Rattus norvegicus: one gene and its partners. The protein of the gene in region 3 interacts with the protein of the main gene of each other region in a biochemical or structural test. Links are inferred from orthologs where the notes say so. Each region holds a gene or a part of one and is shown on either strand. Other genes may lie near its edges.

What was found.
Region 1: the proteins of Aurka (region 3) and Usp21 form a complex in vitro, tested with the Homo sapiens proteins (2 studies listed by BioGRID, with this or other methods). The link is inferred for Rattus norvegicus from reciprocal best matches to the Homo sapiens genes AURKA and USP21.
Region 2: of the proteins of Aurka (region 3) and Nin, one has a biochemical effect on the other in vitro, tested with the Homo sapiens proteins (2 studies listed by BioGRID). The link is inferred for Rattus norvegicus from reciprocal best matches to the Homo sapiens genes AURKA and NIN.
Region 4: the proteins of Aurka (region 3) and Gadd45a form a complex in vitro, tested with the Homo sapiens proteins (2 studies listed by BioGRID). The link is inferred for Rattus norvegicus from reciprocal best matches to the Homo sapiens genes AURKA and GADD45A.
Region 5: of the proteins of Aurka (region 3) and Otud7b, one has a biochemical effect on the other in vitro, tested with the Homo sapiens proteins (2 studies listed by BioGRID, with this or other methods). The link is inferred for Rattus norvegicus from reciprocal best matches to the Homo sapiens genes AURKA and OTUD7B.

What each region holds. Positions count from the first base shown.
Region 1 is NC_086031.1:86,234,624-86,238,188, forward strand, and holds the end of Usp21 (ubiquitin carboxyl-terminal hydrolase 21), read right to left. Parts: intron 3,529-3,565; coding exon 3,417-3,528; intron 3,238-3,416; coding exon 3,082-3,237; intron 2,582-3,081; coding exon 2,517-2,581; intron 2,306-2,516; coding exon 2,202-2,305; intron 2,011-2,201; coding exon 1,924-2,010; intron 1,680-1,923; coding exon 1,601-1,679; exon of another isoform or gene 1,395-1,600; coding exon of another isoform or gene 1,388-1,394; coding exon 1,280-1,387; intron 1,194-1,279; coding exon 1,079-1,193; intron 866-1,078; coding exon 775-865; 3' UTR 504-774; downstream 1-503. UniProt on the Homo sapiens protein: Deubiquitinates histone H2A, a specific tag for epigenetic transcriptional repression, thereby acting as a coactivator.
Region 2 is NC_086024.1:94,360,806-94,364,836, forward strand, and holds the start of Nin (ninein), read right to left. Parts: upstream 2,806-4,031; 5' UTR 2,697-2,805; intron 2,321-2,696; 5' UTR 2,274-2,320; exon of another isoform or gene 1,909-2,273; intron 1-1,908. UniProt on the Homo sapiens protein: Centrosomal protein required in the positioning and anchorage of the microtubule minus-end in epithelial cells. May also act as a centrosome maturation factor.
Region 3 is NC_086021.1:181,557,967-181,562,152, forward strand, and holds the start of Aurka (aurora kinase A), read right to left. Parts: upstream 2,804-4,186; 5' UTR 2,799-2,803; coding exon 2,757-2,798; intron 805-2,756; coding exon 549-804; intron 1-548. UniProt on the Homo sapiens protein: Mitotic serine/threonine kinase that contributes to the regulation of cell cycle progression.
Region 4 is NC_086022.1:97,484,000-97,488,307, forward strand, and holds Gadd45a (growth arrest and DNA damage-inducible protein GADD45 alpha), read right to left. Parts: upstream 2,801-4,308; 5' UTR 2,651-2,800; coding exon 2,607-2,650; intron 2,518-2,606; coding exon 2,416-2,517; intron 2,331-2,415; exon of another isoform or gene 2,312-2,330; coding exon 2,074-2,311; intron 1,177-2,073; coding exon 1,063-1,176; 3' UTR 498-1,062; downstream 1-497. UniProt on the Homo sapiens protein: In T-cells, functions as a regulator of p38 MAPKs by inhibiting p88 phosphorylation and activity.
Region 5 is NC_086020.1:186,399,338-186,402,848, reverse strand, and holds part of Otud7b (OTU domain-containing protein 7B), read right to left. Parts: intron 1,719-3,511; coding exon 1,606-1,718; intron 1,218-1,605; coding exon 1,090-1,217; intron 683-1,089; coding exon 533-682; intron 88-532; coding exon 1-87. UniProt on the Homo sapiens protein: Negative regulator of the non-canonical NF-kappa-B pathway that acts by mediating deubiquitination of TRAF3, an inhibitor of the NF-kappa-B pathway, thereby acting as a negative regulator of B-cell responses.

The DNA of each region.
Region 1 (3,565 bases), on a different chromosome or scaffold from region 3:
GGGAGAAGGCTCCATAAACAGCTCCTTGATGTTAGCAACAGACAGGGCCTACGGGAGCAAGGGCCGCCCAGCAACGAAATCATGTTTGTCAACAGGGGTTCTTGGGTGCTTTGCCCCCTAGGGGCAGTCCCCTTCACAGGCAAAACCTGGTATGCCAATGCCTGCACTCTAGTTCCAGGCTTTCCCGCAACTTCACAGGTCTCAAGGTTTGTCTTCCTAGTACCACTAAACTGTCAGTGTTTGGGTCCAAGTCTGGAGCCAGCTCAATCCCTGTTCTTTTCCTTCTGTTGTGAGAGCGCCCCCACCTGTTCAGAGACAGAATTGGGTCCCAGAAAGGCTCCAACAGAACCAAAGTTCTAGATATCCATTCCCTCTACCCACAAATACAAACATGAACATTTACTTTTTCTTTTTTTTTTTTTTTTTTTTTTTTTTTTTGGTTCTTTTTTTTTTTTTTCCGGAGCTGGGGACCGAACCCAGGGCCTTGCGCTTCCTACATTTACTTTTTCTTAATAAATTTATTCACAAAAAAGTGAGATTGCAGAGGTTCTGGGGGCTGTACATGGTCAAGGGCCTGGTAATTTCTGTACATGGGACAGGAAAACAAGGTGGAAGGGTACTTCTTAATAAAAAAAATAACGGGAGCTACAACCAACCCTCCTCCCCTCCCCGATTAAAAAGACACAAAAATAGACGTCTGTGAGGTAAGTGGGGAGCCTGGGGGCTTAAGGGTGTTGAGAAGGTTTTCACAGGTGCCAGGGCTTCAAGATGGCGTCACAGGCACCGAGGTGGTTCCTGCATCAATTGGTAGAACAGCACGTAGCCCTCACTGGATGCCACCTGGTTTTCACTGACAGGGGAGACACTGAGAAGAGAGATGGGAAATGGCTGTGGTCATTCCAGAAGATTCCCCCTCTGTCCTAAAGACGCAGTGTAGCGTAGCCAGGTGGCGATCAGGAGAGACCTCCCCCCCCCACCTATCCATGGTCAGGAACTTATCTTTTCAGACCTCACAGGAGGGGGTGGTGCCAGGGCTGCAGTGGGGTGGGGCAGGAGTTGAATAAGAGGCTGTTCTCACCGGGAGTCATTGTAGACATGCCAACCAGTCTGGCACCGGCACAGGGCTGTGTAGTGGCCATAGTGGACACTACCCGAGTGGTTGCAAAGGGCATACAGCTGGTAGACAGGGCTTCCTGCAGGTTAGATAACATCAGTTTCTGCAACTGGGAGTTGTGTCTCCCTCCTGAAGACTCCTTAGGACGTTCCCTGCCAGACTCACCCACTTTGTCGCTGGCAAAGTCCCCTAGGCTTAGTCGCTGCAGTGGGAAGTCTACACCTACTGAACTTTTCTTGATGGAGCCTCGGGAGGTGGAAAATCGGTTCAGATCTAAGCCCTGGTTAAGGAGCATTGGGGAGGCTAAGGGTCTCTAAAAGGGAGACTGCGGAAATAGATTCGGTACCCTCCATTCCCCCAACACGTCCTGAAAAGTGGCAGAGAAAGTTGGGGTGGCAGGTTTTCCCTACGGGAAACTCACTGAAGGTGAGGAAACACTGTATGGGAGATACCCTAAGAGAAATAAGAACTTGAAAAGTAGGATATGGAGCACGAGGATTCGGGGGAATCTTTGTACTGTCAACTTTTTGGTACTTCGTGTTTTCTGCCGACATCGGTCACATACCTACATAAACAGCAAATAGTGTTAGATCAGTGTTCTCACCTAGGTGGTTTTTTCTGACACCCCAACTCACACATAAGTTTAATAGGTGTCTCATTGCTTTGCCCCTCCCCCTTTAACCTAGGCACACACTAGGACATACCCGAGAGCCCCAACATTCACCCAGACATACAGCTGTTCTTCCCAAGTTAAGGAGGCATGCATCTCCTTTCACCCAGGCAGACCCTCCCGCTGAAGTCCCACATACTGGGGCATTCTCCGACTCTAGCTCCTCCTCCTTGGTGAAAAGGCTGAAGCAATCCCGCAAAGACACTTTGCCCCCAGCAAATCCTTTCTAGTGGGAAAGGGGAAGTGAGGGTCAGCATGTTCTGAGTTTCCTTTTTTTTTTTTTTTTAATCTTTTTTTAAATCCAGGCTTTAATTCTGCTTTAGAGACCCACACAGTTCCCACCCACACTTAGGGGTGGGGAGGGGTGGGTCACAGAACCCATGTTCCATCCACCCCTGGAATCTACTGGAATCCCACCTTGGGGATGGGCAGGGACAGGTCACAAAAAACCTCGAAGGTCGTGGAGCGATACCCACAGGCCTGGCACTTGAGGCAACTTTTCAGCTGGCCCACAAACAGGTCTAGGCAGAAGCACAAAGGCAGGAGAAAAAGTCACTATGGGATGGAGGCCTGACGTGCTTTCCTAGAACCCCACCTCTCCCGGTGCCTCTGATCTGCCTTTCTAACTACAGCATGCCACTCAGCTGTACACCGTTTCACAGCCCCAGCATCTGGCCTGGCCCCATGCTTCCTCCTCCCAAGCCTAAACTCCCAGTGTGTGCCACTGCATACCCACAATCTTGCTGTCTTCTCGCTCCAGGTAGCGCTTCCACATTAAGTTGGCTCGGTCATCATCACTACCACAGATTAAGGGGATGGGGACAAATTGTGAGACAGCCGTGTTAATACTGGGCACCCCTAAACCACTGAAATTACCCACAGAACCCTGTTCCCTATTCACATACCAGCGCCTTCCCTAAATTTCTAGTCAAAGGAGTAAGAAATGCTTCTGGGAACTTTCCAGGGAAATCCAAGATGAAAGGGAAAAGGAGATAGATAGATAGATAGATAGATAGATAGATAGATAGATAGATAGAGTCATCTTCCTCTACAAGCTTTTGATATATTTGATTGTAGAAGCCTCTCTTTCCCCAGTTTAATGGCATCCCTGACACTATTTTCTGTTTGCCTATATCTGTACTTCTCAGCTTCCCCCTTTTTCCCTTCCTTCCTTTTTTTTCCTGTGCTAAAGGGTCTCCCCTGGGCCCTACATGTCCAGTTTCGGTTGGCTCAGCTCTGTGAAGACTGAATGCTGACTGAACTACTGAAAAGAGGAACAAAGGGGAACAAACCTTACCTCAGTTCAGGTTCTTCATGCAGAGCCCCTCCTCGGCGAGGTGGGGAGGGAACTGGACCACTGGCCAGAATTGGTGGTGCCCGGCGGCCTCGTCGGTTGATTTCGAGGTGCAACCGCTCCATAAGGAGCTTCAGGAACTCTTGGGCATCCTGCTGGCTATAGCCAGACAGAATATGGACAAGTGATCTATTTGTGGTCCACAAGTATCCCCTGCCCAATCTGGGTCCCTGTTTCCTCTGTAGGAAACCTCAAGGCTCAGAACATGGCTGCTAGAGCCTCTGTTTGGCCCAACCCCAGACACAGCCAGAGAGAAATCCTATTCACTCAGTTCCCACCTGTATCCAGAGAAGGAAGGGACGTATTTCTGGAAGACAGCCCGGAATCGGGTAGGATTCACAGCTTCACAGGAGTCAGGGTGCCAGAGGGCACCAATCACATCTGCAAAGGCTGTTGGTTTGACAGTGGGGAAGGGATTCAAAGTTAA
Region 2 (4,031 bases), on a different chromosome or scaffold from region 3:
AACTACAGGAGCCATACACAAAACGAAAAACAAAACAGATTTTTGTGTTTGCTACTTAAGAAAGAAAGCAAGAAAGGAAGGAAGGAAGGAAGGGAGGAAGGAAGGAAGGAAGGAAGGAAGGAAGGAAGAAAGGGAGAAAGAAAGCCTGAAACAACTTTCATTTCTTGAGCTGTATTTACATAAATTAATTTAGGATGGCTGATGTGAGCTCCTAGGGTCTGAGTGGAAAACGTCTGTTCTCACATCTACAGATGATATTTCCCCAACTGTGTTGAGCTATCAGGATATCGACACTTGGAGCACTCCCCATGTGGAGTCATGTGTCTAATTGCTTATACAAATGGCAGTAAAGAAGTGAGCTAATTTCTAATGATGTTTCTCATAATTCCATAACGTTTTAAATGATCTTACTTGTAAATACAATCAGATAAATGTATCTTTCATTGTGAGGTTCAGTGAGCCTGCCCCACAAGACTTTGGCCAATAGATGTGAGATCAATAGCCAGAATTCAAACTGCATTATTTATTGGCTTACAAATGAGCTGGCATTTATAAAAGTAGCTATCTAAAAGGCTTGGACTGTCTGAATCGCTCTGCGATGTAACTGTCAAGCCTCTATCAGGGTAAGACTTATAAAATGTATTTTCATTATCAACCCAAAATGGAAGCCTCAAGACTGGTAAAATGTTAGTTTGGAAAGTCATTTACAGTGACATTTAAAACAATTTATGTGAACAACATTTGACTCATGATAAGAACACTGACTATTAAATTAAGATTGGCTGTTCAGGATTCTGTGGAGCCCTAGCCTTGTCCTGTGAGTTAACATCTTCTGATATGAAGGGCCACTACATATCTAAAATGAAAGGGGAATAAGAAAGAAAGAACTTGTGACATTCTCAGCGAGCACCCATTAAAATGGCTGGATCATGACATTTCAACAAGAGGGCCACATAGAGGGTGGCTTCCTCTTCCTTGCCCCAGCATCTGTACGTTGGCAATCCATTTGCTTTCTCAACACCACAGCTCAGAATGCTTCCCTCTAAAACATCAGAGAGCCTTGAAAGTAGGCAGGTTGCCAATACCTCCTGCCCAGATCACCTCCCTATGAACACCAACCACAGCCGAAGAGACGGCACGAACTCCTCTTCCAGCCAGTCCGTGATATTACTGATGAGTGTTTCACAACTTCTTTCAATTCCACAGCAAGACATACTAATATTCCAGGTCAGCCTCTAATAGCCAGCGCTCACCATAACAGAAGACCCTAGAATAAGCTACATCGGCACCAGGAAAGTATTTCCTTGGGGGTTCGTTAAGCCTTGGGGAGCATGCAAATACTTAAATTTATGCCAAGATGATAAATGAGAGCGAGCCCAACTGAGAAATAGTTCATGGTCCCAAGAGCCTAGCTCAGGTGCTATGAGATTAATTGGGATGAGCACCCTGTGAGCTACCGTGGCAGTCATGTACACAACCACAGTCTGTTTTGGTTGAGTTGTAACGCCAGGAAAGGGTCTGTCCCAGGTAAGGGACGATGAGACCGTGTCATAATAAAGTTGTCTGGAGATACGATCCGTGGCAGTGCACGATTCCAGCTCCCCTTTCGTTTGCGCCTTCAGGGCTGAGGCTAGGAGCATCATCCTTTCCAATCTCTCTCGAATTCACAGAGCTCTAAGCGGAGGCTGGTTTCCATCAGCGTTGTCTTTTTAGGGGAAGTGGGGGTGGTACTGCAGTTCAGACCTGAGTCTTGGATACTTCTCTCCCACCTACACTCTCTCCTCACTTCATTCCACACTCCTCTGCTCTGGAGATCGCAGTTTTTTTCCAGAGCAACTGTCAAGATGTATTGCCACCCTTTCCTGCTAGCTGCACCCAGAAGTCTCTACCTGCACGGATCCTACGCACCTTCTAAAATCTCCACTTTTAGGACTCCAAGCAGCTCTGCGCTCCCAAGAGGTTCAGATCCGCACCCAGGGGCTTCCCACGCAGGCTTCCCCTTCAGCTTCTGGATCTCGGGGCTGCCTGGGTGGCCTCGACCCACAGAACAAGAACCCTTTCTGCTAGCTCCGGCTCCTGCCCGCGGCTAGAGCGAGGCACAGTAGCAGCTTTCAGCTCCGGGCGCCTCAGGTCTGGGAGGCGGAGGTGTGGCGGGAGGGCGGGCCAGCCCAGGTTCCTAGCAACCCGAGCGGCGTCCCCACTCCACCTGTCCACCCGCGGGTCGCAGAGCTCACTCGCCAGACCCGTGGTCCGGCCCCGCCGACCTCGCCTACCTTCCTTCGGCCTCTGGGGAGCGCCCACGCCGGCCGCCTCCGGAGCTCTGCAAGGAAAGGGCGCTTTGTTAGGGCCCCGCGAGCGCCGCGACACCGAGCAGCCCGCGCCGCCGATCCGGGCACGCGTCCTTCCAGAGGACGCGACTAGGGACCCGCGCCGGCGTCATTTCCATATGTAAGGGGCCAGCACTTACAAAAGCGCGCCGGCGCATCCTCCGCCCCCGCCGTCGCCCCTCCCCCCCCGCCGCCGCCACCCGCTGGCGACAGAGCCCCTCCGGGGCCGCCACCGCGTGCTGGACCGGGATCTGCGGGCTTGCGCCGCTCAGGGCGCTCGGGGTGCCTCGTAGACGGCGCATTGGCAGCCGAGGCCTCTTCGCTCTCCCAGGCCGCGTGACCCCCGTGGCTCCCCAGCTTGTAGCTTACCGCGTCCTGGGGTTTAGGCGCCCCGCGCCACCGCACAGACCATGACCGCGGGACTCTCAGGCTTGGCCCGGCGGCACGGGACGGCCGCGCCCAGCGCGCTCGCTCCCGGCTCAGCCGCTGCCACCCGGAGATCGGGCCGCGGGGGAGGAAGAGCCTGGCCGCGCAGGGAGGAGTCAAGGGGACGCCGGCCAGGGCGCGGCTCCTCCTCCCGCCGCAGCCGAGGGAGGAGCGGGTAGCCGCAGAGAGTCGGCGGGTGCGAGCCCCCGCCAGAGAGATTTGAATTTGGGAACGCCCTGGCTCGGCGTGATCGTCCTGCACCCAGAGGTCGCCTCGGCTCACCAGCGGTCCCTTGCCCACCACCTCCGTTTCCTCTCAGAGGCACCTAGCACCTGGCGCTTGGCACAGGACCCACAACGTTTCTGAAGAGTGAAGACCCCAGCTTGATTGACCTTAAGTGGAGGTTTGGGTACCTCTGTCACCTGCAGGTCACCCTGGTTTTCCCAGCTCTAGAGAACCCTTTGAAAGTCATGGGAAAGGGCCCGGAAGAGCAGTGGACCCTATAGAGCATTGAGCGCTCTGGACGTTCCACCTTTTCTAGAAGCCTCGTTCTCATAGGTGCCTTGCCCCGTGTATAAACTTCAGAGGGTGCAGTTAACCCTCTGTGACAGCCGCACAAAGCAGAATGTCATTGGAATTGGTGGTCCTTCTGCCATCAAGGTTGGTGGGTGGGTCCCCATCCTGCCTTTGTCTCCCAAGCCTCCTCTACATGCTACCCTCACTAAAAAAGGTGCTAACAAAATCTCAGTGCTCTCCCCTTCCCTATGCTTCCTAAAACCAAGTAGTCAAACAGGATCTCAAATCCAGGCTAGAGGTGGAGGGAGCTATGGGCCCCGAGGCAACATCTTTGCAGGATCCATGCGTAGTCCTTGTGGAAGGAAGGATCTGTCTTGATTTATTATATCCATAAGTTATTTCCACAAGAACCTGGACAAAGTCCTCTTGCCACCGAGAGTTGTAGGCGACAGAAAGGAAACTGGCAAGTTCAGGCTCCTGAAGCCAACAGATGTGACCTCTCGGTGACAATCTCCCTGAGGAGGTGGACACCATAGCGTTTCGAAAGCAGGAAGCTGGAAGGCCCGGAAGCCAGAGCATCACACAGAAAGCCCTTCACAGACTAAGATTCAGAAGAACATCGCATATGTGTCAAAACTGCCTAGAATGTAGTGCTCGCAAAGCAGAACTAGTGAAAGAGATTTTCCTGGGGACCCCAGCCGACCCAGGCCTGGTTTATTATTTTCTGCTTGTACTGTGCTATAGTTCTGCAGAGTGAGAAAA
Region 3 (4,186 bases):
CCAACTCTGACCTGCTCTGCCAGCTGTGTCAGGAAGGCCCCTCTGACTCTCTCCTTTTAGGAAGGCCCCTCTGACTCTCCTCTCCTGTCAGGAAGGTCCCTCTGACTCTCCTCTCCTTTTAGGAAGGCCCCTCTGACTCTCCTCTCCTTTTAGGAAGGCCCCTCTGACTCTCCTCTCCTGTCAGGAAGGTCCCTCTGACTCTCCTCTCCTTTTAGGAAGGTCCCTCTGACTCTCCTCTCCTTTTAGGAAGGTCCCTCTGACTCTCCTCTCCTGTCAGGAAGGCCCCTCTGACTCTCCTCTCCATGCTGGGCACAGTTCCAGGCAGTGCCATCTGAGTTCAGCCTCCCTCCCAGGCCCTGGGGACCCAGCAATGGCACCTGCATTCCCAGCACTGGAGGAGCCCAGACACACCATTATACTTGAGCATGCACGGACACCCATCTCATTCTTTTCCTCCTCCTCAACAAACATGGTAGAGAGACCAGGACATCAAGGATAAACGCCAATCTATGCATTTGATCATCCAGTGCAGTGACAACCCCACTTACCCGAGGCCGCAGGCTGTGGCTGCTCACTCTTCTGGGGGTTACTCAGCCGGGAAGCAGGTCGAGGACCGCTGGCAGCCGGCAACTGCTTGAGCACTGGCTTCTGACCTGCGACAGGTTTCTGTGCTTGTGGAGGGACACGCTGGGAGTTGGAGGGACACAGGACCCGCTGGGCCTGGCCACTGCTCGCTGATCCTGGGTGCTGAGAAGGAATCTGCTCAGTCACCAAGACTCGTTTCGGACCGAAGGGAACAGTGGACTGAGATGGAGAGAAGACAGGGAAAGTGGCCTTCAGGAAAGGCTGATGGTAACGAGAACCAAGTTTCCTTTGCAGTCTAACAAAACTCAGTAATACATGGAAATGGGGGGCGGGGGTGACTGAACAGGTAGCAGTACTGACTGCCCTCTCAGAGGCTCTGGATTGGTTCCCAGCACCCACATGGTGACTCACAACCATCTGTTACTCCAGATCCAGGAGACCTGACCCCCTCTTCTGGCTTCCTCAAGTCCCAGGCACACGCATGCACGCAAACACTCACCCACACCAGACATAAATATATAAATAACTCTCTTTAATAAATAAAGTAAAAGGGAGGAGGCTGAAGCTACGTTAATGTGCGTGTGCCCTAGGGAGGGCTTGGCCGACTCAAGCCCTGCTTCCTTAACCTCACGCGGGAATAAGCTCCGGTAAATCGATGGAAACCCCAAACACCTGTAAGCCCAGAGGCCGGGGAGCTGGCAACCTGTAACCCAGTACTTGAGGCTGAGGCAGGAGGAGCACTGAGTTCTGAGGCAAACGCCTCCACTGTGATGAAACTTCCTATCAAATCGTGCTTGAGGCTGAGGCAGGAGGGGCACTGAGTTCTGAGGCAAACGCCTCCACTGTGATGAAACTTCCTATCAAATCGTGCTTGAGGCTGAGGCAGGAGGAGCACTGAGTTCTGAGGCAAACGCCTCCACTGTGATGAAACTTCCTATCAAATCGTGCTTGAGGCTGAGGCAGGAGGAGCACTGAGTTCTGAGGCAAACGCCTCCACTGTGATGAAACTTCCTATCAAATCGTGCGGTGATTTTATGCTTAGGAAAAAGGATGGAACTGGCGACTGATCGCCCTCAAGCGATTTTGCAGAACAGTCTAAATGTAAGGTTGTGCTGGGTTTCCGTGGCTTATGACCATCATCACAGTTCGTTAAACTCCCTGGGTTTCCCTTTCAGAGTACGTATTTGACAAAGTCTCACTGTGTAATACTGACCAGTCCCAGACTCACGCCTGGCACTATCTCAGTCTGCTCGCTGCTCTCTCCTAAAATGTTGGATTAAAGGTGTGCCCACTGAGCCTCACCCAACAGAAATATTTTAGGAAGTAATCTCCAAAACTAAAATGCATAGAATCTATTGAGTTTTCCATAGAAAACAAGGACAAAGAAGAAGCAAGTGTAGGCACCTAGAGAAGCAATCACTACCCCACTGGATTACCTGTGAAGACTCTGTCAGTCTCAACTCTTAAGGTCCACGCTCATCACACTCAGAGAAACTGAGACTTCCTCCTCCTTAAATGAGAGCCTCAGGATTCACCATGAGCTCAGAGGACATGAGGTTCCAGGGCAAAGGCATCTCCCACAGAAACAGAGGCTCAGGAAGCCTCCAGGCACGGTCAAGAAGAGCCCTCCAGTTCCCACCCAAAGCCACAGCGGGAAGAACGCGATTGTCAGAACAACATGCTCAGGAGCGGTCCGGCTTTGCTCAGTGACTAAGGTCTTACAGCCAAGCCCAAGGACCTGTGGTAGAGCCCAGACCCACAGGACAGAGACCCCCTCCAGCCTTGCTCTCTGACCTCCACAGTGGCATATGCATGGGTGCACACAAACAAAGTACACATCACTTAAAAAGTACAATTGTGGGGCTGGGGATTTAGCTCAGTGGTAGAGCGCTTACCTAGGAAGCGCAAGGCCCTGGGTTCGGTCCCCAGCTCCAAAAAAAAGAAACAAAGAAAAAAAAAAAAAGTACAATTGTAGGGGCTGGAAAGATGGCTCAGCCATTAAGAGTCCTGGCTACTCTTCCAGAGGTTCTAGGTTCAATTCCCAGCCACAACACGGCAACTCACAACCACCTGTGATGCGATGCCCTCTTCTGGTGTGCACGAAGATACTCATTTTCATAAAATAAATAACTTTTTAAAATGCAATTGTGAATGCAGGGAATTCTACTTACCTTGACAGGCCTAGAGACACAGTTTTCTTTACATCTGTCCATGTCACCTGAAGAGAGACACAAGAGCCTTTTGTTTAAAAGGAGCCACCTGCTCTGAAGTGTTTGTCACACTCAGCAGTCACGGCTCCCTGACAGACAGGCCTCTGCACCGCACACCCTTTGTCATAGCCGGAGACAAGCAAACTGACAAGAGATGAGCGGATGCCATTGCCTGATACATTCCCTGTGCATCCCCGAGGCCCTTCCCTCCCACACTCCCTGCATCGTGCCACCCCCTCTCCTCCTCTTCCCTCTTGGGCCTCTTCTTTCTGCTTTAGTATACCATGTTCAGCATCACAGGCTGCTTGGAAGACCTCCTACTTAAAAAGCCCCATTTATACCACAGCTGCCGCAGGCCATGGTCCTACCTTGGAGCAGCAAAGGTCCAGAACTACCTACCTAAGCCTCTCTCCCTCCCAAGCCTAGTCCCGTTGGGCCTTTGAAACCACACTGTGTTGCCAGTCTCTCAGCTTCCCCCACTGTTGTACCCCGCTGCACACTCGCATTCCTGTGGAACAGGTTTCTCTATCACCTTGCTAGCTGTCTTTTCCTACCCTCATGGCTTGGCCTCATTTCTCCCAAGTCCAAGTCCACCTTGCATCTACACCCAATGACCTTGACAGTTCCGTTCAGCTCAAAGATGGACTACAAGTAAGAAAATTGCTCATGCCTCGGCAGGCTGGGCTCGGAAGACTAGGCAGGAGGCAGAAGCCTTAAGCAAAGGACCGTAGTTTGCAGCTACCTCACCAGAAGCCTGTTAGGAAATGGAGCTCCTGGGCCCAAGGCCAGCTTTAATAAACAGCCCTGCATTTTAGCTTTCCCATGACAGCTACACCGGAGTCGAGAATTCTAACAGATTTCTATTTCCTGTATCTGCAGTAGAGCCAGGATTTTGTTTGTTAGGTTTGGATTTTTTATTTATTTATTTGGTTTGGTTTTTTGTTGTTGTTTTTTAAGACAGAGTCTCCCTGTGTAGTCCTGTCTGTTCTGGAACTCACTATGTAGACCAGGCTGGCCTTGAACTCACTCCACCTGCCTCTGCCTCCTAGATACTGGGATTAAAAGAATGCGAGACCACACCTAACCTTAGGTTTATGGTTGAGACAGAATTTCCTGGATCCCAGGCTGGCCTTGAACATGCTAAACGGTGGAGATTACTTTGAACTCCTGCTCCTCTGCCTGCGGTACCTCAGTGCTGGGATTACAAATTCATCGCCATCCTCAATGTATGAAGTGCTGGGGAGGGGACCCAGGACGTGCTAGGACCTTACTAACTGAACTACACTCCCAGACAGGCTCCACTTTTGAGACACTGTAGCGGAGAGACTGGCCTCAGATTCAAGGCTATCCTTCTGCCTCAGACTGCTGAGGCACACTTGGGGTGTTTGTGT
Region 4 (4,308 bases), on a different chromosome or scaffold from region 3:
TCCTGTCAGCATCTGAGTCGAACCCCCACCTTTCCAACCCTCTCTCTCACTTATCTCCCTACACCAGAGGCACGCAGCGTCACCCTTGCAGGTCTCTCTGCGGGCTCTGATCTTTCATGCCTGCACCATTGCACAAACTTTTGTAGCTGTTAGCAATACCCTTTCCCTGTCTCTACCTAGAGAAACTAAGCTCATTTCTTAAGCCTCCAATAAGATGATTTTTTTCCCCTCAGTAAAAGCTTCACTTATCTTCAAGCAGCTTTGGTAACCCTCCTCTCTGCTTCTATGTTTTGCATGCAATTAATTATAGCATTTTAATAATTCATTGTAATTCAGACTTTGCAAGGTGACTCTTTCTCCATATTCCCTTTGCCCTTACCCAAACCCTCTACCATCACCCATCTTTCTGCCTGGTGGCTTTAAAGCAAAGTTTCAATACAAAGTCTGATAAGAGTCCATGTTGGAAAACACATACCACACATTGAGAAACGACACAGTTATTCCATACCAGTTTATTTTAGATAATGTGCTTCAAAAACGTTTTATCATAAATAACCTTTCACATCATAAAATAACTTAGTACGATTTATAATAAAACTTCTGAGAATTTAACATCTCATCAAAATACATTAAACTGTGGCTTGAAAATATGATTAACCCTTTTCACTTTTCTTTTATTTGAGGGCATGAAGACCAAAAAAAATACCCAAAATATTGCTACACATTTAAAGTTTCAACAAAGCAATATTTGGTTTACTTTACTGTAACCCGGCCATCCTAAATTAATAGTTTTCTTTCTTGCACAGTTCTTTGTAGTTTTTTTGTCCCTTTTGACTTGGATTTCTGTTTCCACACAGCTTCCTCCTTCAGTCTCACCTCTCTCTCCTTCTGCAAAGTCATCTCCTAGCCCTCCTGTAGTTGAACTCAGCCCCTTGACATCAGTTTCTGTAATCCTTGCATCAGCGTGGGGAGTGACTGCTTGAGTAACTACAAAGGTATTTCAAAACTTCAGTGCAATTTGGTTCAGTTATTTCCATTCAGATGCCATCACCGTTCGGGGAATCACCGTTCGGGGAGATTAATCACTGGCACCCACTGATCCATGTAGCGACTTTCCCGGCAAAAACAAATAAGTTGACTTAAGGCAGGATCCTTCCATTGTGATGAATGTGGGTTCTGAGAACAGATTTAGAAAAATTACTTCCCCATAATATGATCAGCGTATGCTACTAGCTGTACTACTTTTGAAAGGGCCAAACCCCAAACATTCTGCCAAACAGCGTTTGGCCAAGTCTAAACACCTGTAATGCACACTGAGCCACACAGTTTTGCATATTAACTACCCCACTCTTCATGAAGTTATCATTCTCAAGACTGCCCTTCCAAGCACGTACCCTGGTGGAGTCATAAGTAAAATACTTCTGAAAAACATTCTCAGGCTGTGTGCACCGTGAGAGCTGCAGGGAGGGCAGCTGAACTCTTTTATCTTTCCTGACAATGAATAGCACTTTTCACTGGCAGCACAAATAATCAGGCTACCACTTCCCTACACAAGTCAAAAGAGTACAAAAACAAAAAACCAGAAGACCGAGACAGCAGCACATTTCTTTCTGAAAACACTATCCACCCACCACACATTTTTAAGCGGTGGGGAGGAGGGTGGAGAGGGCTCGTTTAAACAAACTCAAGAGCAGCAAAGAAAAGAATTCCACTCCGTACACTTCACAGAGTATCTATATCCAGGGAGTTAATAAGGTCTGTCTCCTACACGACTTCTATCTTTAGCTTTGACAGCAAATGAAGAATGAAGCTGACTTCTTAACGAAGGGTGAACCGGGAACTTAATGTGGCTTTATCTAATCTGTTCTGCTCAAAGAATTAGTCACACGAGCTAGTGCAGAGGTAGGCAGGGGTAGCTGGGTAGCCTGCTGACTCACTGATATCATCCGCCGCTGGAGGCCACCCATGAGCTTAGACACGCTCCTCACAGTATCAGAACCCCCGCGAGATCAGCGTCCAGCTCGGACAAGGTCCACCCCAGCAGATTCTGAGCTGCAGCCCCTGGTCTCTTACCGTCACCAGCACACAGTGTAAGTCCGGGGTCTGCGCAGCGCCCCCGCTCTCAGCGGGGCTCTTGTCGTTCTCCAGTAGCAACAGCTCTGCCAGCCGACCCGGGTTGCTGACCCGCAGGATGTTGATGTCGTTCTCGCAACAGAAAGCACGAATGAGGGTGAAATGGATCTGCAGAGCCACGTCCCGGTCGTCATCTTCATCCGCAGCCAGCAGGCACAGGACCACGTTGTCCGGGTCTCTACAGACAGTGGGCAACGGTGAGTGTACAAGCTCCGGGGAGCGCGGGGTAGAAGCGGGTGGGTAAGCGGGAGGCGGGGGGCGCGGGTGGCCGGGGCCACTTACACGTTGAGCAGCTTGGCTGCCTCGTACACGCCGACAGTTATGGTGCGCTGACTCCGAGCCTTGCTGAGCACTTCCTCCAGGGCATCGCCCACCGTGTCCATCCTGCAGATCGCAGGGCGAGAGCGGGTCAGTAGGGTTCCGGGCCGCGAAGCCGTAGGGGTGGCGGCCACCGAGTCCGCAGGCACACTTACCTTTCGATCTTCTGCTCTGCGGCCGAGAATTCCTCCAAAGTCATATTGCAAGTGCGAGTCCCTCACGCGGCGCGCGGGCTGCTCCTGGCCCCCACAGTGCCCGGCGCCGGCTCTGCGCTGGCTCCCACCCTCGCGTCTCTGCTCTCGCCGGCTTCTTGCTTAGCCTCGCTGGGGAACACTGCACAGCTGCCTCGGGGCCACTGGAGGACAAAGGGTCCGATCCGGAGATATGGGGCTAGCCCTCAGCCAACCACGGCTAGCCTCATTTACATGCAGCCAGGTCATTGGGTCATGCAAATTAGCAGACTTTGACACTCTGACGCTAGCTCCACCAAGCTAGGCAGAGTTGAGCGGAAGGGGGCGGAGCTATGCGGGAGGGAGCCCCTGGCACGAAGGTGGTGCAGAAAGCCGGTTGGTGGGGTCCGGAGCCAGCTCTAGACAGTTTGTGAAGCCATCTGGTGCAGAGGGCTTTTGGAGTGGTTCAAGTGTCCTCAGCTCTGACTGAAACAGCCTGCCAATTGTTTCTCTGGTTGTGGACATCTTTTGATTGTCGTTTCGTGTTCTTTTGTGTTAAGGGACTGCTTTTTAAAATTTATTTCCAGGGGTTAATGCACTCTAGTCTAGTTGTTATTAGTAAGCATATTTTTAAGTGTTCAGACGTACCAGGCAAAGCTTGCTTCAGAGTGTTTATATGCAAGTTACAGGTTAAGCTGCTTATTCCCAGTAGTATTCTTTTGGTGCCCTGATGGCTGGTTTGATTTGGTTTTGGTTGGTTGTGAGAATTTGAAACTCCAGGGAGGAAAAAAAAAGCACATTTGTGTGTAGTGATGGCACAGTACCGAGTTGGAATCTTTTCCACAAAAAGCTGGTGAAATTTCTGCCCCACTCCTTGTAAGCTGGTGATCACATGTCTAACGAGCCAAGCTCACCGTTCTTAAAACCTTTCCTGAAGAAGGCTCCTTCTAATCAAGTAAGAGCTAAGAGACAAATTCTGTGATATTCAGAGTAACCACAGTCTAAATTCGAGATGCTCATGATGCCCCCTAGACTTCCCATCACAGAGTATGACACTGCCTTCTGTTGCCTATGATCTCACTCTGAATCATGAAGCTGTAACTATAGTTCATTTTAGCCATGTGCTAAAATTTCACCTTTGAGACATAGCAACTTGTAGGTAGAAGGCAAACCTTTATAACTGTAAGCAGGAGTTACAAATTAAAAACAATTTTTAATGTAAACTTTTACTGCATAGTTCAAAACCCCCTTTTTTTGTGAGCTTATTCAATAAATACGAAAACATTGCCTGAACCTACTAGTCACCAAGAGTGGTGAAATGGTGAAATGGTGAAATGGTTTGCATTCCTAACAGTGCTTATATTGAGGTCACTGGGCAGTTAGAGAGGTAAATTTTGCAGAAGTACATGTGACTTTTGCATCCTTAAGTGTTTATTCTTGTGGACAAAATATTTTCCAATTCTCTTAATCTTAATGGAAAATTGATAGGTTGATTTTTCTAGTTCACTTATTGGAGACAACTTTCCTTTTAATCCCTAAGTGCTATGTCCCCAAGAGACAATATCTGAGTAAAGGAACAAGCGTCAGCATGCTTGTGTACCTCATACTTATGCCTTAAATCTTTACATGAGCTATGCTTGTTAAGGAATTCCTCAGGGCAGGGGAGATGACTCAGTGATTAAGCACA
Region 5 (3,511 bases), on a different chromosome or scaffold from region 3:
CTTTGCCCCACTCCCAGCCCTTTCCTGGGTCCACAGCAAAGTGCAGGGGCAGCAGCTTATGCTCTGAATCTGTGAGTGGGATCACAGCTGGGGAGAGAAAACATTCTGTCAGAAAGTCTTCTGAGAAGGGAGAAGGCAAATGAACACACACTGACATCACCGAACCCATGTGGGTCTATGACTAACTATAGTCCATCTATCCGCAACACTGAGAAGTGGATTGCATTAAACACCAATGAGCTACTCTCTTTCTTACCACCCAGGATACAAGTTAGCGTATTAATCCCCTGGTCTCCCTGCTGGTGAACCACAGAAATAAGTGCAGCCTGTACCTAAAACAACCTTTGCAACAGCGGTGACAGACACACTTTTTAAAGTTAAAAACTCTTGGTAATATTATATAGCATGGTTAAAAAACAAAAATAAAGACTGGCACCATCTGGCCTTCCATATTACTCAGTCACTTCCTCCCCTTTAGCCATCATTTCCACTTCTGAATAAAAGCCAGCCACAGACACACTGGGCCGGGCACCTTGTTCCTTGGCGCTGTCCTTCTGCTCCATCGACACAAGTGCAGAGAAGTGGGCCTGGTCATAGGCGAGCACCAGAGGGGATCGGTGACACTGGCTGGCTGGGACCTCCAATGGCAGATAGATCCCTCCAAACGGGATAGGGGCAAATGCTGTAGGAAACCACAAAGGTCATTACTACCAAGGGGAGGCCCTTGCCTACTTCAGTCTCTTCATCCTACTTCTCTAAGATTTATTTTATTATTTTAAATCATGGGTGTTCATGGGTGTCTGTGTGAATGTCACATCCCTTGGAGATAGAATTATAGCCAGCTGTGAGCTGCCCAGTGTAGGTGCTCGAACTAAACCTGGGTCCCCTGCAAGAGTAGTCCAAACTCGTGCAGCCACTTCTCCAGTCCTTTAATCCCAGTTTCAATGGCACATCCCATCCCAATTAATCCCAAGAGCTTTTGTTTGAATCTCCTGAGAAGCTTCCACTGTTTTAATGTGGAGCTCCCCACAAGGCTCCACACACAGGATCCTGGTCTGTGAGGAGAATGCAGATGAGTAGCTAACTCACCTTCCCCTCCAGAGTCCCTCAGCATGGTGTCTGCCACGACCACTATGGGCCTCTTGAGAACATGAGCAAGGACGAAGACATGGAATTCCTCTAGGCTCTCATATACCGGCTCTTCTGAACTCTCCACTCTACAGTTGTAGGAGAGAGAATGGAGGAGGCACAACATAAGGGAGAAGGAAGAAACAAAATGAGTCCTGAGACCAGGTCCAAAGTGATGGAAAGAGTGCCCCGCCCTAGTTTTCTAACCCAAAGTTTCCACATCAAATCACTGTGTGCTACATGGTCGGTGCTTCCACGTCACTCGTAGGGAGACCCAGGACAAGGGTATGGGGCTGACACGGTTACAAATCTGAGAGTAGGCGCTGGTGACATGGGTAAAGGTGCTTGCCCCCACTCCTGAAGACCTAAGTTCAATCTCTGGGATTCATAGAATAGACAGAAGGAAGGAAAGAAAGAACTGAGTCCTTAGATGATCCCTGCTCCCTCACACCACCACTGGCTCCGAGACACACTTACCCTCCACCACTGGCTCCGTTGGTACCTAGATGCATTCTGGGTTCACTTGAGGCAAGTTTGATCAGTTCATTCCATTCTTTCTGCCACTCATCTTCCGTATACACCAGTCCTGACTGTACAAGAGACCGTGCAGTAATGAAGGCACATGTAAGCAGAGGCTAGGTTCTGAAAGGCAATACCCATCCAGACTCCTAGTTACAGCCACTCTCCATTCCCTTAGCACTTGCTTTACACTTGTACTAAATCACATTTCTTCTTTTTTTCAGAGTCAAGACCCATAAAATAGGTTGGGTGGTTGGTTGGTTGGTTGGGTGGTTGGTTGGTTGGTTGGGTGGTTGGTTGGTTGGTTGGGTGGTTGGTTGGTTGGTTGGGTGGTTGGTTGGTTGGTTGGGTGGTTGGTTGGGTGGTTGGTTGGTTGGGTGGGTGGGTGGTTGGGTGGTTGGTTGGTTGGGTGGGTGGTTGGGTGGGTGGTTGGTTGGTTGGGTGGGTGGTTGGGTGGGTGGTTGGTTGGGTGGTTGGTTGGTTGGGTGGTTGGTTGGGTGGGTGGGTGGTTGGTTGGGTGGTTGGTTGGTTGGGTGGTTGGGTGGGTGGTTGGTTGGGTGGTTGGTTGGTTGGGTGGGTGGTTGGGTGGTTGGTTGGTTGGGTGGTTGGTTGGTTGGGTGGTTGGTTGGTTGGGTGGGTGGTTGGGTGGGTGGTTGGTTGGGTGGTTGGTTGGTTGGGTGGTTGGTTGGGTGGGTGGGTGGTTGGTTGGGTGGTTGGTTGGTTGGGTGGTTGGGTGGGTGGTTGGTTGGGTGGTTGGTTGGTTGGGTGGGTGGTTGGGTGGTTGGTTGGTTGGGTGGGTGGGTGGGTGGTTGGTTGGGTGGTTGGTTGGTTGGGTGGGTGGTTGGTTGGGTGGGTGGGTGGTTGGTTGGGTGGGTGGTTGGTTGGGTGGTTGGGTGGGTGGTTGGTTGGGTGGTTGGTTGGTTGGGTGGTTGGTTGGTTGGGTGGGTGGGTGGGTGGTTGGTTGGGTGGTTGGTTGGTTGGGTGGGTGGGTGGGTGGTTGGTTGGCTGGCTGGCTGGTTTTGAGACAGGGTTTTACTGTGTAGCCCTGACATTCTGAACTCCTTAGGTAGACCAGGCTGGCCTGGAACTCTTTTAAAAGACTGGCCTGCCTCTGCCTCTGGAGTGCTGGGATTAAAGGCATGTAACACCATGCCCCATTTTGTTTCTTTTTGAGAGAGAATCTTATGTATTGTAGACTGATACTGAATTAGCTATGTATGGAGGTTGGCCTTGTAATTCTGATCCTCCTGCATCTATCTCCCAAATGCTGGGATTACAGGCACATGCCACCATGTCTAGCAATCTCACATCCCTTACTCTTCTGCTCCCTTTTAACTCAATGCAATCTGACTCTATTCCGCTCTCTATGCCACTGCCCCATCCACACACTTCACCTGACTAACTGACAGATCCGATGGACTCTGGCTCTCATCTTTCACGGCCTTTGTCTATCTCTTTTCCTCTTTAGACATTCTAATTTAGCTTCCACACCACTGCTTTTTCTTTTTCTTTTTTAAAGATTTATTTTATTTATATGAGTACACTGTTGCTGTCTTCAGACACACCAGAAGAGGGCTCATCACAGATGGCTGTGAGCCACCATGTGGTTGCTGGGATTTGAACTCAGGACCTCTGGAAGAGCAGTCAGTGCTCTTAACCACTGAGCCATCTCTCCAGCCCACCACTGCTTTTTCTTATTCTCTGAACTCTCCTCCCCACAAAACTGGAGGTTTGGCAACTATTTCAGTCTTGCTTTCCTCTGGGTGATCTCTTCACAGGCTGTAATCATAGCTACTATATCTATGTGTACAGGACTTTAGAATTTACCCTTAGGCCCAAAATTCCTTTTAATTTCTATGTTCAC